Linked DNA regions of Rattus norvegicus. The protein of the gene in region 4 purifies or fractionates together with the protein of the main gene of each other region. This does not show direct contact. Links are inferred from orthologs where the notes say so. Each region holds a gene or a part of one and is shown on either strand. Other genes may lie near its edges.

The links.
Region 1: the proteins of Keap1 (region 4) and Tsc22d4 purify together in Homo sapiens (affinity purification with mass spectrometry; 4 studies listed by BioGRID and IntAct, counting the BioPlex papers as one, with this or other methods). This does not show direct contact. The link is inferred for Rattus norvegicus from reciprocal best matches to the Homo sapiens genes KEAP1 and TSC22D4.
Region 2: the proteins of Keap1 (region 4) and Pgam5 purify together in Homo sapiens (affinity purification with western blotting; 6 studies listed by BioGRID and IntAct, with this or other methods). This does not show direct contact. The link is inferred for Rattus norvegicus from reciprocal best matches to the Homo sapiens genes KEAP1 and PGAM5.
Region 3: the proteins of Keap1 (region 4) and Slk purify together in Homo sapiens (affinity purification with western blotting; 3 studies listed by BioGRID and IntAct, with this or other methods). This does not show direct contact. The link is inferred for Rattus norvegicus from reciprocal best matches to the Homo sapiens genes KEAP1 and SLK.
Region 5: the proteins of Keap1 (region 4) and Mcmbp purify together in Homo sapiens (affinity purification with mass spectrometry; 3 studies listed by BioGRID and IntAct, with this or other methods). This does not show direct contact. The link is inferred for Rattus norvegicus from reciprocal best matches to the Homo sapiens genes KEAP1 and MCMBP.
Region 6: the proteins of Keap1 (region 4) and Niban2 purify together in Homo sapiens (affinity purification with mass spectrometry; 3 studies listed by BioGRID and IntAct, with this or other methods). This does not show direct contact. The link is inferred for Rattus norvegicus from reciprocal best matches to the Homo sapiens genes KEAP1 and NIBAN2.
Region 7: the proteins of Keap1 (region 4) and Gabpa purify together in Homo sapiens (affinity purification with western blotting; 3 studies listed by BioGRID). This does not show direct contact. The link is inferred for Rattus norvegicus from reciprocal best matches to the Homo sapiens genes KEAP1 and GABPA.

Annotation. Positions count from the first base shown.
Region 1 is NC_086030.1:24,586,007-24,589,987, forward strand, and holds the start of Tsc22d4 (TSC22 domain family protein 4), read right to left. Parts: upstream 2,801-3,981; 5' UTR 2,324-2,800; intron 1,889-2,323; 5' UTR 1,618-1,888; coding exon 874-1,617; intron 1-873.
Region 2 is NC_086030.1:52,067,858-52,071,822, reverse strand, and holds the start of Pgam5 (serine/threonine-protein phosphatase PGAM5, mitochondrial), read right to left. Parts: upstream 2,801-3,965; 5' UTR 2,721-2,800; coding exon 2,533-2,720; intron 43-2,532; coding exon 1-42. UniProt on the Homo sapiens protein: Mitochondrial serine/threonine phosphatase that dephosphorylates various substrates and thus plays a role in different biological processes including cellular senescence or mitophagy. Modulates cellular senescence by regulating mitochondrial dynamics.
Region 3 is NC_086019.1:256,449,639-256,453,138, reverse strand, and holds part of Slk (STE20-like serine/threonine-protein kinase), read right to left. Parts: intron 1,105-3,500; coding exon 925-1,104; intron 1-924. UniProt on the Homo sapiens protein: Mediates apoptosis and actin stress fiber dissolution.
Region 4 is NC_086026.1:28,051,243-28,055,320, forward strand, and holds the start of Keap1 (kelch-like ECH-associated protein 1), read right to left. Parts: upstream 2,801-4,078; 5' UTR 2,525-2,800; intron 2,384-2,524; exon of another isoform or gene 2,244-2,383; intron 1,206-2,243; 5' UTR 1,159-1,205; coding exon 520-1,158; intron 1-519. UniProt on the Homo sapiens protein: Substrate-specific adapter of a BCR (BTB-CUL3-RBX1) E3 ubiquitin ligase complex that regulates the response to oxidative stress by targeting NFE2L2/NRF2 for ubiquitination.
Region 5 is NC_086019.1:192,712,882-192,716,381, forward strand, and holds part of Mcmbp (mini-chromosome maintenance complex-binding protein), read right to left. Parts: intron 2,139-3,500; coding exon 1,960-2,138; intron 724-1,959; coding exon 600-723; intron 1-599. UniProt on the Homo sapiens protein: Associated component of the MCM complex that acts as a regulator of DNA replication.
Region 6 is NC_086021.1:36,619,912-36,622,468, forward strand, and holds the end of Niban2 (protein Niban 2), read left to right. Parts: intron 1-224; coding exon 225-814; 3' UTR 815-2,057; downstream 2,058-2,557. UniProt on the Homo sapiens protein: May play a role in apoptosis suppression. May promote melanoma cell invasion in vitro.
Region 7 is NC_086029.1:37,373,976-37,378,067, reverse strand, and holds the start of Gabpa (GA-binding protein alpha chain), read right to left. Parts: upstream 2,801-4,092; 5' UTR 2,408-2,800; exon of another isoform or gene 2,347-2,407; intron 2,109-2,346; exon of another isoform or gene 1,972-2,108; intron 1-1,971. Other genes in the region: Atp5pf (ATP synthase-coupling factor 6, mitochondrial), read left to right, coding at 2,801-2,978.

The DNA.
Region 1 (3,981 bases), on a different chromosome or scaffold from region 4:
ACACACTGAACACACACACATAGACAGACACAGACACTGACACACACACACACACACACACACACATAGACAAATAGACAAACACACAAACACACACACACACACACCAGGCACATAGGCATCCTGCCCCCAGCCCAGACTTGTGGGTAGCTTCCTCTTTTGGAGACAGGAAACAGAAAGTGCAGAGGATTTAACTCCTTCCCAACTGCTTCCTTACCTCCCACTCAATGGTCGATGAGGTCACCCCATCCCACACTCCAGAAGCCCAGGTCTAGGGTACTAAAACCAACCAAGGGTGATATGCCCCACCCCCTACCCCAATTCCTCAGAGAAACTGGTTTGCAGTAAGGCTGAAAATGGGGCTGGGCTGGTAGCTGTTGGTTAGAATAAAGACCCAGAGGAATGCCTACCTTTTATGGCTGCCCCAAACCCCTGCCAGCTCCTCCCCTCCAGGGCCTAGCCAGCCACCAGGCTGGAACCTCCACCCTCATCACCTGGAGCCAGAGAAGGTAAAGGCTGAAGTGGGCAGGCCACATCGGCCACAGGTTTTATGGAAACAGTCAGGGCCAAGGGCAACAGTGTGAAGGCCACAGAGGAAGGAGAGAAAAGAAAAAAAGACGGAAAGGGGAAAAGGAAGGAAGGAGGAAGGAAGGTGTAAATGTGTGCAGAGTAATGAAGGCCTGGGACAGAAAAAGAAAGGATTCACAGTTCAAACTGTAAAAAGGGAAAAGGGGACTTTATGCTCTACCCAATAGGCAGCCAATATAGGGGATTGGGGGGGGAGACGGAAGTTGAGGTGGGGAGGCCCAGGATATAGGTCAGACGACTGAGTACAGTAGGTCTTGCCCCGCCCCCCATGAGCCCATCTCTTACCTTCCCTGTCTCCTCTGGAGCAACTAACTCCATCCTCAGCCGAACTGCTCCATCTCTTCTCCGTGACAGAGGAGGGGTTCCGGCTGCTAAACCCCCAGACTCCACTTCTACCCTCAGGGAGGGCAGGGTTTGAGCACTATCTCCAGTCCCAGGCCCTGGGGGGCGCTGCTGGGGTGGAGAGGCTGACAGCGGGGGCGTCTCCACCTTAGCCTTGCCAGGTCCTGCCAGCTGGCCCAGCCCCCCTGTGAAGGATCGAGCCTGTGGTCCAGGAGAAGTAGGGGGCGGGCGGAGCCAAGAGGTGGGGCCCTGAGACAGGCCTGGCTGAGGGATAGGGGTGCTTATGCCCAAGCTAGCCAGCTCCAACCTAGAATCCAATGATCTGCCTCCGGTGCCTCCTGAGGCCCCTCGAATTCCCTCCAGAAGCCGACCGAAGCTCGGGGGCTCCAGGTCTCTCTCGTAAACATCCACACACGTCCACCGACCTCGTCGATAAGGCTCTCCTAAACCTTGGGGCAGCTTCACCACCCGGAAACGGGAGGCAGGGGCTCCAGGTGGCGGAGAGCCATTCCGGGGGGTGCCCCTGCCCCCTGGATCAGGGTTGGGTTCCCCGTTGGGGAGGCGGGGCGGGGGCCCAGCGGGAGCCGGAGGGGCAGGGGGGTCCGAAGCCCCTGGGCTTCCTGGGCCCTCATAGTCCGTGGTGACGCTGGTGATCTGAAAACTACTTTTCTTCTTACCACCACTCATGGTCCCTAGGGCTCCGGACTGGGCTGGGGTGGGGGAGGGGCTGGGCTCCTGAAGAGGGGCTCAGGCACCTCTGGAACAAGGGGGCCACATGGCAGGGACATCAGGGCCCCTGGGGACGTCTGGGTCCGTCATGGCAGGAGGGCCTTGTGGGAACTTGGGGGTGCCTGGTTAGTGACTGGAGAGGGGAGGTGGCAGGAGGGGGGGGGGGGGGAGCAGAGGCAGGTTTTTCCTGCTGCTGTCGCTGCTGAAACCCCAGAGCTGAGCTTGCAAACTGGAAAAAGAAAGAGACAGAAAGTGAGCGAGAGTGTGTGTACGTGAGCAAAAGAAAAAGCAGGGGCCAAACCACCTCCGGGGCTTCCTCTCGGGGGAGCCGACTGGGGGGAGGAAGAAGAAAGCCACTAGAGACCCAGAGACAAGTAGAAATGACAGACCGGAGCGGAGGGGACAGAATTCAAAGCACCCAGAACAGGAAGAAGCAGCTGGGACCCAAAGTTGAACATTTCATGCTTGAAATCCAAAGTCGTCCCCAACACGTATCTCCAGGGCCAGGGGCAAAGGGGTGAACCGGCTCCTCCCCTGAAAGGGCCACCCTGAGGCCTCTGCTGGGCCTCAAGCCCACCCCACCCCCATTCCAGCTCCCCCATCGCTGGTTAGGCACTGCCCGCCAAGCCAAGCGCGCCCCGCCCAGCCCGAGAAAACTACCTACCTCTCGGGCCTCGGCCACCGAGCTGAGCTGGAGAGAGGACCTGGGGACTAAAGATGCCTTTTTTTTTTTTTTTTTTTTTAATCCTAAGGCGGCCTAGCGCAGGCCACGGCAGGCAGCAGTCAAGGGCTGCCCAGTGTTCTCTGGCGTCCGCATCTCACTCTGCGAGGCATCTCGGTGGAAAGTTTGCAGTTGAGACGAGAAGAAACCAGCGCTTCCACGGTGGAGCCCAGGCGCAGCCTCCGTTAACACTCCACGGGTCTTCTCTGTTGCTGTGGGAGGGGGCGGCTCAGCCCCCCGCTGACTCCAGTCCCTTGAGTGGCTCGCTCTCTCTCAAGGCTCCTCCCACGTGGCCCCACTGGATGTATCTCTCGGCTCCTCAGCTCCGCTCCGCTCCGTCTCAGTCTGGGTCTCGGGCTCTCTCTTTCTGGGCTGTTGACAACCCCCACACCAGGAAGTCCTGCCTTCTCGGGCCTGCTCACTGCTCCTCTCCTCCTCCTTCCCCTCTTCCTCCTCCCTCTTCCCTCCTCCCTCCTCCCTCCTCCCTCCTCCCTCCTGAGGCTCTCTGCCAGCTGGCCCGGAGCCAGGCCTGCCACAGCCGCAGCCGCAGCCGCAGCCGCAGCCTACAGTTGCAGCTGCTGCCGCCGCCGCTGCTGCTTCTGCTGCTGCTGCGGCCCCAAACTGGCTGCTTTAACCCTATACCTGCCAGGTTCAGGGCAACTCTTCCTCGGAAGGAGGGGCATGGAGGGCGGAGAGAAAAAGGAGGAGCCTGCGGGAGGCCAGGGATTCCCTTACTTGTGGGCTTTTGGTGCCATTGGGCTGCAGGCTTTCCAAAAGAGTCTCAAGGAACGTGCTGGACATGTTCTGGGTACCTGGCTGTTTATAAATACCTAGTAAGTGTGACCCACTGGCTGTGATTTGTCACGGCGTCTCTGGTTTTCACCGTAAGTTCACGAGAAACTCCCCCTCCCCACTCTGTTTTGAAAAATGAGCGGTTATGAAAATTTTCAAACATGCCCCAAAGTAGAGGAAATAGGATAATGAACGCCCACGCGCGCCATCATGGACTTGTAACAATTATCAGCTTTGCCCAATCGTGTTTTCGTCCCTCCAATATCTTTTCTCGGATTTTGCTGCAATATTTGGATCTCTCTCTCTCTCTCTCTCTCTCTCTCTCTCTCTCTCTCTTTCTCTCTGTGTGTGTGTGTGTGTGTGTGTGTGTGTGTGTATACATCTGGAGGTCAACTTGGAGGAGTTCGTTTTCTCTTCCACTAATAATGGGGGTCCTTTGCTGGTAAGGCCCTTTACCCACTGAGCCATCCTATCTATCATGCTCCTGTATTGGAAATCAAGCCTCTGATACGGTCTTTCCCTCTCTTAAAAGGGAAAATTGGAGAAGCAGACCATACAAGAAGGCTGTTGGTGGTAGGACACGTGTGTGTGTGTGTGTGTGTGTGTGTGTGTGTGTGTGTGGCATGTGTGCATATGCATGAGCGGTTGCAACACCTGTGTGTTTGTTAGTGAGAGGACCACACTGGGTGTCCTACTCAGGGTCTCTCATTGAACGCACAGCTTGGTAGGCATCCAGCAAACCCCAATAATCCTCCCATCTCTTCTCCACAGCACTGAGGTTATAGGCACACAGGGCTATGCCCCGGCTT
Region 2 (3,965 bases), on a different chromosome or scaffold from region 4:
ACGTTCCTTTTCTTCAGGTTAATGAGTGACAGTGGCTCTCGCCTAATTATGAAAGTATGTCTTGTCTTGTGACCTCTTGTCCAAGACACCTTTCAGTGCTTGGGAAAAGGCCAGGGGGGAAGCCCAGCCCAGAGAGCCTAGCCTCACAGAGCACATCTTCACTCTTCCCGAAGGCCAGCCTTGCTCTGGGTGATACAGATGTGTGCATAGAACATGAAGCCTTAGGCTCATGTTTCTGTGAAGACAGGCTGGGGAGATGGCTCAGAGGTTAAAGTGCTTGTTATACAAGCAGGAAGACTGGAGTTCAGAAGCCACATAAATACTGGATAGTGACCCACCTATAACTCCACCCTCAGAATGTGGAGGCAGGATGCCCACAAGAAGCTGTGTAGTCAGACTACTTCTATTAGCAAGTTCTGGGCTTGACTGAGAGACCATGCCTTAAACGATAAATCTGAAGTATGATCAAGAAAGAACTTCCATTATGTGCCTCAGGCTCTCACACAGACTCACACATGCACGAGAAGGAAAAAAAGGAAAACTGTCAATAATGCCACAAATATGCAAGCAGTGATAGGACAGGGGTAAGAATGGAAAGTTGCATTGCAACAGAGCCTAGAACAGGACTGTCTGTATGACTCCGGTAGTCATGGGGCTGTTTCATTGCTTTTTAAAGATTTATTTATTTTATGCATATGAGTAAACTGCCGCTATCTTCAGACACACCAGAAGAGAGCAACAGATCCCATTACAGATGGTTGTGAGCCATCATACGGTTGCTGGAAGTTGACCTCAGGACCTACGGAGGAGCAGTCAGTGTTCTTAACCACTGAGCCATCTCTCCAGCCCATGGCTGTTCATTCACTCCTTTTGTTGGTGGTAAGACAGGCCCTCTCAGTGTAGCTCAGGCTGACATCGCAGCAACCCTACTTCAGCCTTCTAAGCACAAGGAGGACAAGCTTGCACAAACATCCCTAATGTAAATTAAAAATATCAGACATGGGCCCTTGGCTCTATTTTCTCATAGTATGAGTCTGGACTCCTCACACATGGAAAGCTGAGGAGGAAGGGTTGCAAAAGGCCAGGTTGAATAAGTAAATTGAATATGCTTAGGTCTTTTGTAGCTGAAGATTCCATACTCAATATTCAATCAACCGGGCATCAAAAATACTCAAAAGTTCACACCTGAATTAAAAAGACCTTTCTGTATGTGATTTTTACCTCAAGCTATATAATTTAACATCTACTTAGGTAGCAATTTTATTGTATTGGGGGTGGTAAATAATCTAGGAATTACTTAACGTATACAGGAGGATAAGCTAGATGTCTAGGTTATCTGCAAATACTTCATCATTTTGAACATCCACAGAGTTTGATATGTTCAGAGACCCTGGAACCAATCCTTCAGCATTAGAGGGATTACTATAATTAAATTAAAACTAAATAAAAATAGAGCTCTTTTCTAAGTCACACTAAACACACTTTAAATGTTCACTAGTCACGAGGTAGTGACCATCACAATGCTGAGGACCGCAGTTAGTGGACTGGATGTAGGAGCTGAAGAAACTGAAGCTACTCAGCTAAATGTAGGAGGCAGGAACAGGACAAATGACAGCAATGGTGAAGAGGAAGGTTTGCAGAGTTTGGTGGTGGCTCAAGCATTATCTGAGCAGGCTAACCTGGGGTGTTAGCCCCATATACAACCAAGCCAAAGTCTTGTTGCAGATACAGGAATGTGTGGGGCTGGCTGGACCAGACAAAATTTGAAGAGGACTGTCAGAGAGGAATGCACAGCAGAAAGAAACCAAGTGGATATGCCAGTTTTAGTCCCTTCCTGTCTTGTTTATCCATCTGTCTGTCATGCATCCTTCCCCCACCTAACAAAGATCCAGTCACTGTACCTACCGGTCCATCTGCATATGCAGACATGGCAAAAAAAAAAAAATGAAACATTTAATATCAGGTAACTTCATTTTCCTTTTTTAGAGACAGGGTTTTTCTACAGAGCCAAGAATTCAGGGATCTGCCTACCTCTGACTCCCAGTGCTGGGATTAAAGTCCTACGCCACTATACCCGGTTTCCATGGGTTCCCTTGGTTCTATTTCAAGCACAGGTTCTCTGACTCTGGAGGAAAAGCAAGCTCGTAGTCCCAATTTTCCCCCAAGCTGCATCAGGACAATTTGTGAGGCAAACCTGATCAAGACCCTGACTATAAGTAAAATTTAAGCCTTTAGAATTTCAGGCCCACAAAGGTCCTGGGACGAAGTCCTTCGGGTGGACGGTCTCTGAACAAGGACTCTTCGAGGATGGGGTCCGAGCGAGTATAGGTCCCTCAGAGGGATGGATGGTCCAGGCACGAAGACCCTCGGAAGATGCACCTTCTGGTATGGGAACCCTCAAAGGGCCGTCGCCCCGATTCACACAAACTCAAGACCCACTAACACACACCGTCCCCTTCAGGGCACCGATATCTGCCACACCGAGATGCATGTGAGGGCACAGGCCTGAGCCCCACCCTCCCGTCCCCGCACCTGTCCCAGTTGGAGTCCCAGACGCCGTGCCCGGGGCGCGCTCCGGTCCAGGCCAGCGGCTCTGTCGTGCGCGTGTCTGCATCCCCGCCAGCTCTCGGCTTCCCTACCGCTACCGCCGAGAAGAGAACAGCGGCCGAGCCACCCGCCAGACCACAGGCCGCCAGCTGAAGAGCCTGCCGGAAAGCCATGCCGCAAGCCGCACGACCGGACGGCGGGATGCCAGGGACACGCTTCCGCTTCCGGCTAGTGGACGTCCCACCCCTTTCCCCGAAACAGCAGGAAACGCGATAAGGAGTGCCACCTGCCGGTGGTTTTAGGGTAGAAGGCGCAGATGCCTGCCCTTTGGCGGGTGAGACTCCAGGGGGACGAAGTCAGTCAGGCATTAGATTTATATGAATTGAAAAACCTCAGGATTGGCTCTTGCTCTAGATCTAAAGTTTTTTGTGTTTTCTTTTGTAATCCTTAAGTGTATACATCTTCCTAACACCTACCATCGCGCCTCTGCCTAGTTGTTATTGATCAAATGACCAGGTCTTTCTGTGTAGGAAAAGTGTCCACCTGCCCTTCCAGTGCTGGCAGTTCTAGACCCTGCCAAATTCAAGGCCTAGGGACTAGACTAGCAGGCCCAGTGACTTATAGGCTTGGGCTTATTGCTCTGGGCTTTAACTACCGACAGGCCCAGCACTTGGCAGCTATTATAATTTTTAGCTTTGAGCAGTAGTGAACAGCAGCAGGCATTTGGTAATAATAAGGTAATAAGGCTCCTGAATGAACCCCTAACCTCAGACATTCTCAGGACCCTTGGCCTTTGACAATGACTAAAATGGCCCTAAAACTCTTAGCAACAGAATCTCTCATTTTTTCCACAGCCTTCTATAACCTCAGCTCTCTATTCTCTCTAGCCTCAGTCAGCCTTTTTGTGTAACCAGCTCAGCCTACCCTACTACTAATAAAAATAAACTAAACTATTTACAAAAATCTTTAAGGCCTGAAATTGTAATATCAAATAAAGGGACACAAGAAGCTGTATTTCCACTGACTGGAAAGTGAGCTTCAGTTGGCTTATATATAAAGAGAAAAGGGATGTGGCAAGGGTCTTAGTCCCAGTCCTGGCAGTCCTTCATGCGTTTGCATCAACCACAGGCTTTCTGCAGAGCCACCGAGGAAGTGCTCTCCATCTGGCTTGGATGAGATTATCGCAAGGTCATCGGCGTTCACCAGCATGCATGTCTTGTTCATACTACTTTTCAGTGTCAGTGGAGGCTGTCTGGACTGATCACGATTGAAGCAAGTGTTCAACAGAAGTTTTGGTGGTCCACTGTGGCTGCAGAGGTGCCTGCATAGTGGGCCCTGATATCTCTCTAAACTGGCTGCCAGGAGGGCAGTGTGGCAAGTTGTCCGTAAGAGTCTGCTTTCCTGACAGGGCCTCAGCC
Region 3 (3,500 bases), on a different chromosome or scaffold from region 4:
TTAATGCTCAGTCCTAAGGACAGCATCAGGTACTTGCTGTTAATGCTCAGTCCTACCTGAATATATCCTCAGGAGTTAATAATATGATGTTCAGTTTTCCTCTTAATTAAATGTGTAAGTCAGATGCTAAAATCTTGGTAACTGAGACATGAAACAAAAGTGAAAATGTATTTCCTAGTTTGGCTGAGATATTTTCTTTCAACCCTAATAGATCTGACCGTAATTATTTTCCCCTGGGGTTGTTTATATACTGAAAATGTAAATCCCTCACCTGCACTGCAGATGTAAAACAAATCATAAAATCATCACTGGCAATCGCTTGGATGTATTTGATTTTAATCTAGGAACCTCTTTACTAGCTGATAACCAGCTACAAAACAACCCGGAAGCAGCTCGGGAAAGTCAAAACCTTGTTATAATCACATAATTTTTTTTCCCCAAAGGTATAGTAAGAGGTGCTATTTTGAATATCAAGCTATTCAGGTTTTGCTTGGTAAAATGTCTTAAAAAAAAATCAATAAACCTAATAAAAAAATTCAAATGTCAAGTAAATTGTAAATAATAATTCTGGCTGCTACCAGTAAATACCAAAGAAGTTAAGTTCTCTTGAAAAGGTATTTCCAAAGAAGGCCCTAAATATCGCATTAATAAGAAGGGATGGCAGAAAGAAATACAGCTTGGACTGTATTTGAAGACTTAGTTCAAAAACAGGCACTGAAACCTCTTTTATTCCCGATTTCTTGCCAGCAAAATGAGGATAATATCTGACTTTATTAACTGCCAGCCTATCACTGTTTGGAAGACAGAACAGAGGAACAAATAAATGAGTACTATTCAGTCACCCACAATTATCCCTAATTCCTTAGTCTGCGATTTGCATTTTAAAAAGCGGCTGTGGTAGTTAACAACAATAGCTACCCTTACCTCCTTCTTTCGGTTTCTTAGCATATTCTGGAACTTGGACAGCTCCTTCTCCTGCTCTCCTTTGATGCGCTTAGCTTCGTCTCTCAGGCGGTTTGTGTGTTCTTGTTCTAGTCGTTCAATTGTCTGTTTCTGCTGCTTCTCTAGATTCTCAATTTCTTGGTCATATTGTCGCTTCTTACTCTGTAAAACAATGCAGTCTGCTAGCATGCTAACTAATCATCAAATATCCAAGTATGGCACAATCTTCAATATAGAAAAACTTATTACAAAGTATGCAAGAGGGAAGGGAAGGAAGAAAGGAAGGAAGGAGGGAAGGAGAGAAGGAAGGAAGTTGAAGCCAGGCATGGTAGCACATGTCTGCAATTCTAGCACCTGAAAAGATAAGAATGAACACTATATACTGAGCCACTGTCTCACAAAATAAAGACAAAACAAAGTTCTCAAAAATAAAAGAAACTGAAAACAAAACAGTTTGCAAAAATCTATGCAGGGAAGACATAATTTCTAAAATTATGGAAAACAGAATAAAAGGACCACGAAAGCTCTGGGTGAGAATATCTCTCATTATTTTCTCAGGACACTGTTGTGGTGACCAAACACAAAATCAACAATGCCACACACCACAGTCCTCAACACTTAACACAAGACTGCAAAGGATTATAACTTAAACTTCCATATTATTCTAAATGTTTTTCTTCTAACATACATCAAGCTAGATATTCAACCAACCTTACTGAGATTCTGTACCACATTCCTAAATTCCCCTCCCAACTGCGAACACAGTGAGCCCTCAAAGTCTCCGAAACAAGTGCACAGCACAGCAGCGGTGACGAGGCCACGAGGGCCTGACTAACTGTACGAGCCCGGGAAGAAAGTAAATTCTGAAAAGCCACAAACAAGTTCTAATCTCAGCTCGAGCTAGATTGCCTTAAAACTTTAGAATCCAGAAAACTTGGACAGTTTCCTAGATGATAAAGGTATAGAAAAGGGTTTTCTAAGTAGAATTCTATTTGCCCAAGAATTAAGGCCAACAACTGATAAATAGGATTTCATAAAACTAAAAAGCTCCTGAAAAGCTAAGAAACAGTGAGCTGAACAGGAGGTACACAGAATGGAAGAGAGCCCTTACCAGCTCTGACTCTGACAGGATTAATATCCAGAACACACAACTCAAAATCAAAGAGCAACAACCAACAACCCATTTGAAACCGAGGCCTGAGTAGAGACTTTTCAAAAGAAGAAACAAATGGCTAAGAAATAGTTCAATAAATGTTCACACTCCCTAGCAATTGGGAAAATTACAAATCAGAAAAGTCCTTGAGACTTTTATCTTACCCCAATCAGAATGGCAAAAAGACCAATGGGATAAGTGACAGCAAATGCTGGAGGGGAAGTGGGGGAGTGGGTAGACTGCAAACTGCTACAGCTCCTAGGGGAAGTAGCGTGGAGAATCCTCGAAAAGGAAAAGTAAATCTCCCACACGACTGAACAGACCATTCTTTGGCATATGCCCAAAGGACCTGGCAGATACTTGCTACCTACCTGACAGATCCTACTAAATACAGACACTTGCTCAGCCATGCTTACTGCTGCTCTAACCACAGCTAGGAAACGGAACCATTCTGAATGTCCTTCAACTGGGGAGTGAATAGTGAAAATATGATACATACACACTATGGAATACTATGCAGAAGTTAAGAAAAATGAAACCATGAAATCTGTAGGCAAATGGATGGAAATAGAAAGGACTACATTGAGTTAATCCAGTCCCAGAAAGACAAACATCACATATTCTCCTTCACGATAGCTCTTAATTCAAATCTTCACATTTTACTCTATAACCTAGAGTCAGAAAAATAGCAGAAGCCAGAAAACTAGCAAAGGAGCATGGGGGAAGGTGAGTACAATACAGAAGAGAGTAGCAGGGAGCAGGGTAAATGTAATTTGAAGAGGAAATGGGAGAAATGGGGTGGTGGTGGGAGTGGGAAGTGGGACAAAGGTCAATGCGTAAGAGGAAGGAGGGTATAGTAAGAACATCTGAAAAAGTCATAAGAAATCTTTTTACCTATTTACCTAAATTATACACATAATATATCTAAGTCTATATGTGTTTATGTTTATATATGTGTGTGTGCACGTACACACACACACACACACACACACGCATAATCTAAATAAAATTTTCCCACCTTGGCCGACAATGTTTTTTCCCCCCAAAAGCTATAGACTATCTCACAAAAACCCCAAAACCAGGCATTAGAAGCCCCCTTATGAGCTGTTGGTCAGGGGAGTCCAAGAAACTCCCAAAATGCTATAGCTCACTGCAGCTGCCTCTGGCTGCCTCCTAGAAGTTGAAGGTAAATCCCTATTGCTGAAGACACCACCCATTTCATACACCAGACCAGAAGAAGACCCAGGCTGAATCTAACCTGAAAGCCTCCTCCCAAACGGAGCAGCTTTTATGGTACCAGAAAATCCCATGCAAGCGTTGTGTCCTGCCTATGTGTCCAGCTCTGATGCTTGCATCCTGCCTATGTGTCCAGTTCTGATGCTTGTGTCCAGCTCTGATGCTTGTG
Region 4 (4,078 bases):
CCAAAAAAAATAAAATCTAAGGTGCTGGAGAGATGACTCAGCAGTTGAGCGCACTACTGACTGCTCTTCCTGAGGACCAGAGTTCAAATCCCAGCACCCACGTGGCAGCTCACAACTGTCTGTAACTCCAAGACCTGACCCTTTCACATAGAAAAACATTCAGGCAAAACAATAATGCACACAAAATAAAGGTAAATGAATTTTTAAAAAAAGATTTAAAAACAAAAGTAAAACCAAGTCCTGGGGCTCTGCGTTCCATTCCAGTATCTCTTAAGTATACTGGGAGTCTGTGACTACAGTACTTGGGAGACTGACACAGGAATCAGGAACTTAAAACCATCCTCAGATACACAACCAGATTAGGGCCAGCCTGAGCTACATGAGGCCCTATGGAGAAAAGGAGGAAGAAAAAAAGAAATCTTCCTCCAGCCTTGAATGGCCGCTCCAGTCTCGGAGAGCACTATGCTGGCCCATCCCACTTCTTGTGACAACTGAGCCCAAACCCCAGGTCTTACTCACCTCCCCGAAGTGCATGTAGATATACTCCCGAGCACGCTGGTGCAGTTCCGTGCAGCCGATCTGCTCGGCGAAGTTGGCGATGCCGATGGCGTTGCTGGGGTCCAGCTGCTGCACGAGGAAGTCGCTGCAGGCTCGGACCACGCTGTCAATCTGGTACATGACTGCCCCGTTCATCACATGCAGCACACACTTCTCGCCCACGGAGATGGAGGCCGTGTAGGCGAACTCAATTAGCCTCTCCATGACCTTGGGGTGGATGCCTTCAATGGACACCACCTCCATGCCCTGCTCCCGAAGCCCGTTGGTGAACATAGCTTTAAAGACTGGGCTGGAGGAGGCCAGCACCACTTTGTGGGCCATGAATTGGGCAGCTGGGATGTCCTCATATTTGACCTGCAGGGTCACGTCACAGAGCTGCTGGCTCAGCCGAAGCTCGTTCATGATGCCAAAAGCCTGCTTGGTGTGATCCTCTAGTGTGTAACTGAAGGTTCGGTTACCATCCTGCGAGGGCGTCACCTCCGCCTTGCACTCCGTGGATGCATACATCACCGCGTCCCCTGCCCCCTCCGGGCACTTTGACCACAGGGGCAGGAACTGGCTGCTGCGGGGAGCCCCGCTAGGCTTGGGTTCGGGCTGCATGGGGTTCCTGATGACAAGATACAGTTCCACCACTAGCGATTAGGGGCCTGGAAGGAGGGAAGAGTACAGGGCTGGATTAGGCCAGACCCTGCCACATTTTTTTTTTGTTTGTTTGTTTGTTTCTTGTTTTCTTTTGAGACAGGGTCTTAGCCTAGGCTGGCTTCAAACTCACTATGTAAACAAGGCTGTTTGCTGTTTCCTCCCGTGTACTGGGACTACAGTTTGTGTCACCATATCTAGCCAAGCTTTAATTTTTTTTTTTTTTTTTAGACTAAGCAATGATTTCTAGAGCAGTTTTTGTCAAGCCAAGTGAACTGGACACACCCGGCTCCATTCAAACTGACTTCTTCTCAAATCACCGGCCGTTCCTTTTCCTGCTCAGAATCACCCAATACCTATCCCAGAGCCCAAGAGTGGAAACCCAGCTCCTCAATGGCCTGTAAAACTCCACACCCCCTTCTAGACCTCTTCACTCAGTTCCAGCCATGCTTCCCTTCCCTTCATCCGACATGTCAAATCCCTTTCTTCAACACCTCACCAAAATTTACAGAGCCTGCCATTTATACTTGCAACTGTTCTGAGCTCCAGGGACACAGCAGGAAGACAGAAAAGGCCTGAAAATAAAGCAAGGTCTGTATAGAAAACACTAGGCGAGCACCAAGGCCCTGGGCAGAGTGTGCAGCCTCTGGAACACCCACGGTGAGGGATTCAGGAGACCCTTGGAGACCTGGGGCCAGGACAGGAGTTATGCTTTCAAAGGAGATGTGGGGACACAGAGAGGGCCTGCAGCTGGCTCCCCAGGTTCTGGGGCTCAGCCTGGAGTCGCGTCCCCCAGTGTTATGTCTACTAGGTCACCATGGGGGGGACGACGATGAAATGCTCCAGGGGCCCCAGTAAGTGAGCGACTGTCACGCGTGACCACACTGCCGGAGCTCGGGCCTGGCATTGCGCAGAGGGCTGAGCAGCAGCCACCCGGTACCCGGTGCCTGCTCCAGCGGCCTCCCTAACGCTCGGAGGCGCAGCCCTGACGCCTGGAGAGCCCGCAGGGCCTGGTCCCGGGCCGCGGCCCGGAGCGGCGCACTCACCCCGCCATGGCCGCGCTCTGCCTCCGCCTCCGCCGCGCGGGTCACGGTGACTAAGCACAGCGCACCACCCTGTCACAATAAGAGTCCCGGGGCGCCGGCCGCGGGCGACCCCTACCCTCGACTCGCCTCGGCCACCACCCTACGCGGGTGCACGGGCTGGGCGCGGGTGCGCACTTGGAGGGGTCACGCGCTTCCCCCCACCGCGTGCACGTCCCCACGCGCGACCGCGGGCGGCGCCCGGAGCTGGCTCCCCACCGCATCCTCCGCGGGCGCTCGCTCACCTCCGTCCCACCCCCCCGGGTGTCTCTGTTGGTGCCACGCGTCCAATCCGCACCGCCGGGCCGCCACGCGCCGCGCTTCCGGGAGGAGCCGAGGGCAGCCAGGGGGCCTCGGATCGGGGCAGCGGTGCTGCGGGGTCCCGGGCGGCACGCGTGGGAGGAGCGGGAGGGCGGAAACAGGCGGCGGGCACGCAGAGGCGGTTCCAGCCCTTCCTGCAGGTGCCGGGCGGAGGGAGCAGGGCGTGGGTCAGGGCGGCCCTAGGAGCCTGCCTCCGGGTTAGGCTGTCCAGTACGCCTCTAGCTGAACCTGCCCCAGCGGACCCTCCCACACCCTACCCGGCCCAGCCAGACCTATGTACCTGGTTGAGATACAGATCTTCCTTTAAAATAACTTTTTAATGGTTTCTATTTCAATTCGCATTTTACTTTATGTGTGTGGGTGTTTTGCCTGCGTGTATGTCTGTGCCCCGTGGGCGTGCAGTGCCCCCTAAAGTTACAGGTTATCCACCCTGTGGAGAGGGGGAATTGAACTCTGGTCTTCTGCAAGAGCAACAGGTACTCTTAACTGCTGAGCCAGCACCCCAGCCTTATAACTTCTTTTTTGAGAATGGCCTCATTACATAGCCCTGGCTGGCCTCTGCCTCTCGCTCTGCCTCCTGCGTGCCGGGGTGAGGGGGAGTGGGGGGGTGGGGGTTTAAAGGCTGTGACACCACGCAGGGCTTTGTGTACATTAATTTATTTGTGTGTATGCTTGTGTGTAGAGGTCGGGGGATGACTGGCAGAAACTGATTCTCTTCCCCTATGTGGAGCCTGCAAGGTGCAACAGCAGCCCACTTTCCTCTCTCCTCTCTCTGTAGTCATTTTTTCATGAGGAGAGGTGTGGCATTCATCTGAGGGTGTTGGAGAGTTGGAATGCCCAGAATTGCCTTTCTTTGCATTTCTCATTATATATATATATATATATATATATATATATGATAAGAGATTCTTATTTGCTACAAAGGCATTTATGAGAGAAAATTATTTTCTTGACCTATAAGATTTGGCCAATTCTGGCAACTAAGTTCCATCCCTGTTTCTCACGTGGTAGTAAAAAACTTACTCCTCCAAGTTGTCCTCCAACCTCCACATGCACACATAAATTAATTTTGGAAAATAAAGTTATTATTGGTGCTGGAGAGATGGCTCAGTGATTACAGCACTGACAGCTCTTTCAGAGGACCCAGGTTCAATTCCCGGAACTGGTATTAGGGTCAAAATGAACGCCTATAACTCCAGTTACAGGGGATCCCATACCCTTTTCTGGCTTCCACAAGCACCACAACCATGAAGACAAAACACCCATACACATAAAATAAAGATAAATAAAAAAATTTAATATTATTTGACTGACTGGTGCAGACAAGATGTCATTTTTAGCCCAGGCTAGCTTTGAACTCTGTCTCCTGTCTCCATCTCTCCAATGGGATTACAAATGTGTATTCTGGGTTTTTTCTTTCAATTTATTTTTAATTTCATGTTCATTGCTGTTTTGCCTGCATGTATGTCTGTATAAGG
Region 5 (3,500 bases), on a different chromosome or scaffold from region 4:
GTGTGCACTTCTAATTCCAGCACTTGAGGCAGAGGCTGGAAGAGACCTGTGAGTTCGACGTTAGTCTAGTCTACAGAGCTAAAGACGAGCAAGGCTAAACAAACAAACAAACAAACAAGCCAAAAACAAAACAAACAAAAAACATGTCTCAAAACAAAAACAAACAAACAAAAACAAAATAAAAAATTGAACCAAAACAGGGTGGAAGCATTAAAGTCAATACACAAACTAAATGTACACAAAGACAGACTTCATTGTTTTATAAGCAGAGCCTGGAGAAGTATACACACATAAACAAGCAAACAGGGTATAGGGAGGAGACCAGGAGATACAACATTTGAAGTATATACAAAATAAAAAATAAAACGAGTGCAGAGAAACCAACAGTTCGTCTTACTCATCAGTCACATCCCATCTGGAGACGGAAACAAATGCGTTATGTGAAACGAAGTAAAGTGGGGAAAGGAGTCTGTGTTTGGTGCAGCATTTGTAAAAACCCACTTGAAGACAAAGCTGATTTACTAAAAGACACAAACAAACATCACGGCTGTTCCCTTCTTTCTCCCACACCCCAGTTCCCAGGAAGAGCACAGACTTACACGGTGGAGATGAGATGCAATATAAGGTATTCAGCAGCCAAACTGTCTCCCAAGAGTGCATGAGTGAGGAATCCAAGCAGCTCTGCTCTGACTGGAGACAACTCGGACATGAAATTGGACACAACTGCAGAAGGAAGGAATGGCCAATGAGAGTGTGCACGTACAAGAGCAGGAGGGAGTACTACAATTCTTGAGACAATGATGCCATTAGGGTAAGGCAAGATGGCTCAGAGGGTAAAGGCATTTGCCACCAAGTCTGATGACCTAAGCTTGATCCCCAGGACCCATACAGCAGCAGGAGAGGTGGATTTTCTAAGTTTTTCTTTTACCTCCACATCTGTGCCCTGACACACGCATATTCTACTCTTCCTCAGTGGGAGGACCCTCCAGAATATGCCAGAGATCTAGGAGGTAAGAGACTCTCAGGATTTAAAGGAAGGGACCTGAGATGAAATAAATGCCCTACAGTGGGGAGAGAGAACTTGTACAGTCACCTCCAGCAGAAAGACAGGACATCAAGTGGGATGGGGTTGGCATCCCAGTCAAAAACTCTTGACTCATAATTGTTCCTGTCTGAAAAATCTACAGGGACAAAAATGGGGAAAAGCCTGAGGAAAAGGAGGTCCAGCAACAGGCCCAAAGTAGAATCTAGATCAAGGAGAGGCACCAAGGCCTGACGCTATTACTGAGACTATGGGATGCTCACAAAAAAGGACCTATCATGACTGTCCTCTGAAAGACCCAACAAGCAGCTGAAAGAGTCAGATGCAGATATTTACACCCAACAATGGACAGAAGCTGCTGACCCCTGTGGTAGAATTAGGAAAAAGCTGGAGGAAGCTGAGGAGGAGGGTAACCCTGTAGGAGCACCTGCAGTTTCAATTAAGTTGGACCCCTGAGATCTCTCAGACACTGGACCACCAACCAGGCAGCACAGACCAGCTGAGATGAGGCCTCCGACACATGTACAGCAGAGGACTGCCAGTCTGGGTTCAATCAGAGAAGATGCACCTAAGCCTCAAGAAACTGGAGGCTCCAGGGAGAGTGGGGTTGGTCTGGTGGGGTAGGGGGTGGGATGGGGACATCTTCATGGAGACGTGAGGGGGAGAGGTTTGGGGGGTATTCGATGTGCACCAGTCAGAGGGTAAATGAGGAGGGGGGATAAAATCTGGAGTGTAAAAAAAAAGATTAAATAAAATTTAAAAAAATTAGAAAGTGACATAGACGTGAGAACAAAGACAATCTATACCCTTCGTCGTTTAGGTCTCATCTCCCACAGACATGACTAGAAAACTCCCTGTGCTGAGCAGGGACTGCAGTTCACACAGGGAACCTGCCATCGGTAGGCCCCAACACTCACACTGACAGGTTCTGCTCTCCTCCTTGTTAAGGCAAGTGGGTAACAATGGATTGATGTGCTGCAGCTTCTGGGCTAAAATCACGTGAATTCTTGGCACTAGTGAAGCGGGAGGGCTATGCACTCTCTGCTCTTCGGCCATGTCCGTGCATTCCATGGGGTCCAGCAGTGCAGAGGCATCCCTGGGGAGAGAGGGATACATTGGTTTAGAGATGTCAACTAGCAAAAGTGTAAAAGTAAATGCACTCTGTAGACAACTCAGAATCCTATTCGAGGGGTTCTCTGTCCCTCACTCTAAAGTGCTTTTATCACTCACACCTGCCAGGTCAGCGTACAGTCACTGGGTTTATTCTACTGCCAAGACTGGGTGTCTGACTTACTGCCATGGGTGGTGCCGTGTACATGACAGAGGATGTCACTCAGAAGACCATGTCAAAGCAGATGCTCCTTGCATTCTCAGCAGGTAACGACACTGGGATCTTTTTCTCCAAAATCCACAGGTCTTTATTACTTAGTGTGGAGACCACTCACTTTTATCTTGCTAATGGTCTTTGCGTAACTTTATTCTGATGTGATACTTCTTGAAAGTGTGAGCAAGTGATTAGAAGAGTGTGAACATTCAGGCTTGCTAATCAACAAACATGATACTCATTCTGGAGTCACTGCACAAATGACTAAAGTGTGCGAAGTCTTCAACACTATACAAACTGTCAGATCTCACGAGACAAGTTCACAAATTTGCTCCCAAATCTGCCCCAGTCTGTGCCCTTCCCCTCTGAGCCAAGAGGCCTCAGTGGTCAAGTAATTTACAAGGCAAACTGTTGGTTGTGATGACACACACCTTTACGACCCTAGCATTAGGGAGGCAGAGGCCAGACTGGGCTACAGAGTGAATTCCAGGCTAGCCATGGCTACACTTGAGACAACAAGAAAATATTTGCCAACATTTTGGTGTTGTGGTTGTTTCCTTTTTTTCTTTTTCTTTCTTCTGTTTATGAGATAGGGTCTCACTATGCAGTCCTGACCATCCTGGAATTCACTATGCAGAACAGGCTAGCCTTAACTCATAGGTCTGCCTGCCTATGCCTCTGGAGAGCTGATAGTTAAGGCTCATGCAACCATGCCTGGCTTTCCCAGTATTTTTAAGTATGAAGATTATTGGGCTCTTGCTCTGTATGTAGAAGGCCGATGATGGGCCTGCTGTAAGTGAGCTGGTGGCACCTTCCTTCCCTTTTGCTCTGTATGTAGAAGGCTGATGACGGGCCTGCTGTAAGTGAGCTGGTGGCACCTTCCTTCCCTTTTGCTCTGTATGTAGAAGGCCGATGACAGGCCTGCTGTAAGTGAGCTGGTGGCACCTTCCTTCCCTTTGGCAAAAGGAAAGATGGAGCAAGGTCTACGTCACCACGTCTGGTCCAGACCACACAAATACACAATACCCTCCTGAAGGAAAAAGGACTGTGATGAACATACATGGACAGCTATGTACAAACACAGGAGGGACAGCCAGAGACTAGGAAGCTGGGTCCCAGCAGTGAGAGACCAAA
Region 6 (2,557 bases), on a different chromosome or scaffold from region 4:
TCTCTGTGCCTTAAGTTTCCTCTCTGGTTCCTGGCTTTGCTGAGAGTGATCAGTGAGGGACGTAGTGGCTGCTGGCTTGGTTTCCAGGCTTGAGTTATAGTTTTGTGGCAGGGAGACCAGGGTCCAGGCATAGATCACACTGGGGGGGTGAGAAAGGGCCCGGGAGGATGTCAGGTTTGCTATGACGGTCCATGCTGAGTGCTGTCTCTCTTGGGGTCTTGCAGCTGTGAAGGAGGCGGCAGTGCAGCGCAAACATAACCTCTACCGGGACAGCGTGGTTCTGCATAACAGCGACCCCAATCTACACCTGCTGGCTGAGGGTGCACCCATTGACTGGGGCGAACAGTATGGTGACGGCGGTGACGGCAGTGACAGTGGTGGCAGCCCCTGCCCCTCCGAAGCAGCCACCCTCACAGAAAAGCGCAGGCGTGCCAAGCAGGTGGTGTCCGTGGTCCAGGACGAGGAGTCAGGGCTGCCCTTTGAGGCTGGCTCTGAACCGCCATCACCTGCATCCCCGGACAATGTCACTGAGCTCCGAGGCCTGTTGGCCCAGGATCTGCAGGCTGAAAGTTCTCCACCAGCCAGCCCCCTCCTCAATGGGGCCCCGGTCCAAGAGAGCCCCCAGCCCATGACAGTCCTAGAGGCTTCGCCACCAGCCTCACCCCTCCGGCACCTCCCACCTGGAAAAGCTGTGGACCTTGAGCCCCCTAAACCCAGTGATCAAGAGACCGGGGAGAAAGTGTCTAGCCCTGGTAGCCGTCCCCCCATCCATACCACCACCGAGGACAGCGCAGGAGTGCAGACGGAGTTCTAGGCATGGCCTCCCAGCTTCTGTTGGACTCTGCACTGGGGCGCTTCTCCTTGGGCACCGCAGCCTCATCTCTGGGGAGGGGTACTCCAGTCTGTGCCTTGTGGAGAAGGTAGCTGGGGTGGTGTGGCACCTCCAGGGGTCTGGCCTATCCAAGTCACTTTATGGGGTTTAGTACACCTGTTACTGCCTCGTTTTCTGTGGGCTGGTCTCCGATGCTAGGTCTGGTTTTGAGGGTTTCCTCTTTGTGCAAGGGGCTGGGGAGCCCCTCCATCCTGCCCTCACGCTGTTACCTGTTTCCCTCCCGGTGGTTCTTGACGGAGGTAGATGAAAGCATTGGTGCAACTCATGTCTAGGAAGCTGGAAAGCTGTCATCTCACTCTGGGGCCCCTTGCCTAAGTGGCAAGGAAGAGGCGGAGGCCTGGCCTCTGTCCTGCCCACTCCCTGCAGGTCCCAAGGTTAGACAGACACTAGAGTGCTCACTGGCCACACTTTGCGGGTTACTGGTGCGGGAGGGCGGGGCTTAGGGGTCTGGTAGGGGAGCGATGGAATGAGAAAGGCCCAGAATGTGTTAAGTCTGTGCAGGGGAAGTGTCCTGAGGGGAGGGTCTTTGGGAGGGTCGAAGGCCAGGATGGCAAAGTGAAGGTAGCTGAGGTTGCAGTCTTGGGTGCCCACTGCTGTGCATCTGTCTGGTTATCTACCCCTACTTTGGGCTGACAACTGCAGGGTTGGGTGTAGGCTGTCTCACTGCATGCCGGGAAGCTGGAGAAGCTCCACGGGAACATTGAGGGCCATGGCTTTGAGACACTGCAGAGCATCCTTGGTCTCTGTAACTCACGTCACCTAACCCTGACAATTCCAGACCCTTCTTCCATTGTCCTTGTGAACCATTTGGGCTTATCTTTCCCTCTTAGTCGCAAGGGTCAAACCAAGGGTCAGTCAAGTAGATGACTGTCACCTTGGGCCTCCCCAGACTCTGCTGCCGGGGTTGGGAGACCAAAGTAGAAACTGCCACTACAAGGCCCCAGGATGAGGTCTCTGTTCTGTGGACCTGCTCCCCAGATACAGGCCTCAGACCCATAGGACGTGGCCGGTGCTCAGGGACACCCAGTCCCCGGCCCTCACTCCATCGAGTACTGACTTCTTTCTCTAGTGCCTTGGGGGTCTCCATCCTTCCAGTTATGGTATGAAGAATCTATGCAAACTGTATAAGCTTCTGCTCACCAATAAACGCTTTATTTAAAGCTCATTTTCTTATGTGCTGCTGGGGTGGGGGAGAGCTGGGCCTAGGGTGTCTAGGGATCCATTTACCTCAGCTCTCTTGGGCTCATCATATGAGCTGCCAGGTCCCTGATCTGCGTACCTGCACGTGTGTGTACAGGTACAGATTTGCATGTGCATGCAGAAGCCAAAGGATCCAGGCCATTCCGCCTTGCGGTTTGAGAGGTCGCATTAGCCTGGAACTCACTAATTCGGATTGTCTGGCTGTCTGGTGAGGGCCAGGGTCTGACTTCAGCCTCCTCAGTGCTGTGACTGCACACTGGCCTGGCCCTGTGAGTTCTGGGGATGCAGACTTCCAAATGCCAACCACTTTACTGAGGTCTCTTTCTCTAACCCGTTCTCACACTGTCCTAGAGGAGGAAACTGAGGCTCAGAGAGGAGGGGAGAGACCACAGCTTTTGGGTGACAGCCTCCTAATGGCTGATCAACTCCAGTGTCCACCATGAGGGTGGGTTCCCGGTCCATGCT
Region 7 (4,092 bases), on a different chromosome or scaffold from region 4:
CTCCTGAAAATGACAAGGGACTAATAAGTGGAATAGATCAAGTCTTCAGTTAACTTGGGACAACTACCAAAGTTGGCAAAGCCCAGCAGCACAGAAAAAGGAAGCTCACCAAAGTAAATCAAAGAATCCAGGGTATGAAGAAATGCACAAATGTAAATTATTCCAAAATGAAATTTAAAAGTAACTATCCATGGTGCATTGTGTATTTCCTAGAATATATGGTCAACATTAGAAAAAAGTATAGTATGTGCATCTGTGTTGTGTGTGTAAAGAACAAAACACAAATCTGATTAAAAGTTAAAAACTGCCCCAATGCTGCTATTAATGATCCTCTGCTATGCTTGCAGATGGGAGCCGAGCATAACTGTCCTGTGAGTGGCTTCACCCAGCAGCTGATGGAAATGGATGTGGAGACCCCTGCCTAACATCAGGCGGAGCTCAGGGAGTCTTGTGGAAGAGTTGGGGATAAAAATGAGGGAGTTGGAGGGGTCAAGGACACCACAGGAAGACCTCCAGAGTCAACTAACCTGGACACACAGAGGCTGGACCTAGACCATCTACACATGTGTAGCAGATGTGCAGCTTGGTCTTCATGTGGGTCCCCTAACAATTGGAGTGGCGCTGTCTCAGTCAGTTGCCTGGCATTGGATCCCCTTCCCCTAACTGGACTGCCCAGTAGGCCTCAGTGGGAGAGGATAGGCTAAGGCCTACTGTGACTGGATGTCACAGGGTGGGGTGAAGCGGGGCTTCCCTTCAAAGGAGTAATGGGGTGAGGGATTTGGGGGAAAGGGCAAGGAGGGGAACGACTGGGATGTAAAGTGAATGAATGAATTAAAAAGTTAAAAACTGAGCCAGATGGCAATGGTGCATGCTTTAATCACAGCCCTTGGGAGGCAGAGGCAGGTTCATCTGAGTTCAAGGCCAGCCTAGTCTACAGAAAACATTTTCAGGACAGCCAGGGGTATACAGGGAAACCCTGTCTGAAATCCTGCCCCCAATCCCCTTCTGGTGAAAAGCATACGAGTTCTCAAAACTACTGATTTCCTTTTCAGTCCTGTAGGTTTGTTGTACAGTTGCCAGAGACTCAGGTTGATTCAGTACTTGGCTCCCCAAGCTCCTCAAACTTGCTATCTCACTTAGTACTTAATTCACTGTCAGGACTATGTACCCCCACTTACACTTCTATTCTTGAGTACAGATAAATGGACTTCAATCCTGTTGGCATTCAAGTATTCATACAAATACCGAGGGAGAGGGTGCTAACAAGGTGGCCAGTGACTGGTGGAGTGGGGCACCTAAGAATGTGACAATCAATGGTGGACTTGTATGCTTTGGCTCTTGACAGCAGTCAGACCTATCATTAGCTCAAGCTACCAGTTTGCATAAATTGAAGAGGGACATAAACTTTTGAAATGTAAAATAAAATAACCAATAAAAAAATTGCACTTATTTTGCTAGGCATGGTAGAGCACGCCTTTAATACCAGCGCACTGAAAGTAGAGGCAGATAGACCTCTAAACTCTAGGCGGGTCTAGTCTACACGGCAAGTTCAAGGTCAGCCAGGCTAGAATTTGACTCACACACACCCAACACAAACTTACTCGTGTGTACACACACACAAACACAAACACTTTATAGGGTGCTTGTGCGCATTTGTGGAGGTCAGAGGCCAGTCAGTCCTGTCCTCCTTCCACCTGGATTTGAGGCTGAACAGTCAGGCTTGGTTGGCAGCAAATGCCTTTACCTGTCGAACCATCTCCCTGGCCTACCTAAGGATTTAGTTTCAAATGACTGCTTATCATGAAACGATGCGTTGGCACCACTCTCGATGCTGTTTAACCTAAGGGTGGAATCACTAAACTCCCTCGTTGTGTTCACTGCACTACACCACAAAAAGAGGGGGATAAAGTTGGAAAGGCATATTAACTTTCACTGACATCTTCGGGAAAGAAACAGAAAGTTATCCTGTACATTAGAATGATGGCACCGGTGCGACTCTTGAGACAGTTCCAGAAAAGCAACTGGGTTTGGAGTGCGGGGATGGTCGAGTGCGGTGATAGGCAAGCCTGGCATCTTTCAGAGAGACCCGGGAGCTCCGGGACTATGCGCACCGTCAGCGCGCAGAGCCTGGACCGTGCCTGGCGACGGGCGACTCCGCAGCGTCCCGCAGCGCGGCCCCGGCCACGCCGCTTCCCGCGCCCCTCCCCTCGGCTCCCCGCACAGCCTCTCCCGCCCCTCCCCACCCGGCTCCCTCAAGTCTCCACGAACGGAAATGGGAGTCACAGCGCCGGGGACCAGCGGAAACAAAACACAGAGGCGGCCGCGGGGGGGCTGCGGCGGGGGAAAGCCCCGGAACCAGGCCGGCCGCGCGGGCCCGCGCTCCCCGCCAGCCCGCAGCCGCACTCACCAGCTCCGGAATCCGCCCCGTGGCCCTCGCCCGCGCTCCAGAGCCGGCTGGGAACGGCGGCGGCGCGGGCTCCAGGTACAGCGTCTCTCTGGGTAAGACGCGCCGGTCCCGCGAGTAGCAGTGTGAGGCCCCGGGGCCCTTCCCGCGGAATCGGCGCTAAGGAACCCCAGCCCCTCTCCCGCCTCCCAGGCACCCCTGGGCCTGGAACTACAACTCCCAGCAGGCTGCGCGACACGAACGCCCGTGACAACGGGGGCTCGCGAGGCACAAACGCCCCAAGCCGCTTTGTTTTACGCGCTCGTTTTACCCCACATTACATCCACCTCCCCAACCCCAAGGATCAGGACGTTGACTCCGTAGGGAGCTTGAATTAGGGGACAGGCCAAAGCACGCATGCGTACAGTGCAGTGTTTCCAAGAGGGAAAAGAGGGTGAAGTTAAGTGTAGGAAAGATGGCGGAGTCTTAGCTGAGGGACCCGGAAGCACTTACCCTCCACTTCCTCCTCCTGTTTGGCTTCTGTCTCACCTAGAGGCGTCCGGTCGCAGACTCTCTTCGAGGCGCTTCCTGTCCGGTGAGCGTCGAACGACTGAAGCGGTGGCCCATAGTGCATTGCGATGGCGGGTAGGCGTGTGTAGGCGGAGCCAGGGCCGGAAGTAGAACGGTGGCGGCGGCGGTGACTCTGGCAGCTCGGGACTCAGTGCAAGGTGACTGGGAGGGTAACTAGGCTAGGTTGGCCTCTTGGGACTGCGATTCTGGGTTTCTTCACGAGGCAAGGGCAGCCCATCACCTCTGCCCTAGTAGTAGAGAGCAGCCCTGTGTCCTTGGCACCTTTATGGCCTGGCCTGGGGTCACAGGTGACCTCCGCCCTGCTGGGTATTAAAGTTTGCTTTGCGCCCAATAAATAAGACCGTTAATACCCTTTTGAGAGCAGAACAGGGCTCTTGAACGGCAAAAAAAAAAAAAAAAAAAAAAAGGCGGGGTGTATGCCTCGCCTGGGGCAACCCAAGGTCAGGGCAGAGAAACTTGTGAATTATGCATGAGCAGGTCGTGGCCAACTAAGACAGAAAAGGGCAATGGTGACATCCTAAAAGTTTGTCTCCAGTCTAGAAACTATGGTGCTTAAACAGCTTTGTTGATTGACTTTATGATTAGATATTCACAGGCAGCAAAAGGACTAGCCTTTGGCTGGGCTGGTCAGTCAAAGAGCCATGCTTCTTCACAAGGCTTCTCCTCTGGGTTTAAACTTTGATTTTTTTCCCCCACGCTTCCCCGCAATATTTTTAATGTCAGACCCCTAACAAGCAGCTAGCTAGCACCGGATATTAATTGAATACAGAATTTGTCACAGATAGTGTTTTACACTTATGATGACATTTGGCTTCTGTGTGATAGTGAACAGGTAACATTCTCTATTTAATTTGAAAAAGTGAAAGGCAGTAAAGAAGAAGCAACAAATAGTTTTGGTAAGAGAGTATTTGTTCATTGTTTGGACAATTACACGTATGTTTGGAGTAATAAGATAAATTAGAAATTCGAATTGGAAATCATTGTTTTGATGATGCATTTTTGAAAGTGAAAATTATCTTGCCCGTCTTGTAAAGAAATGACGGTCTTGCAGTTAGATTGGAAGCAGGTTGACGTAGAATGTTAGGTAAACAATGACCTCTTTTAGACATATTTTTTTA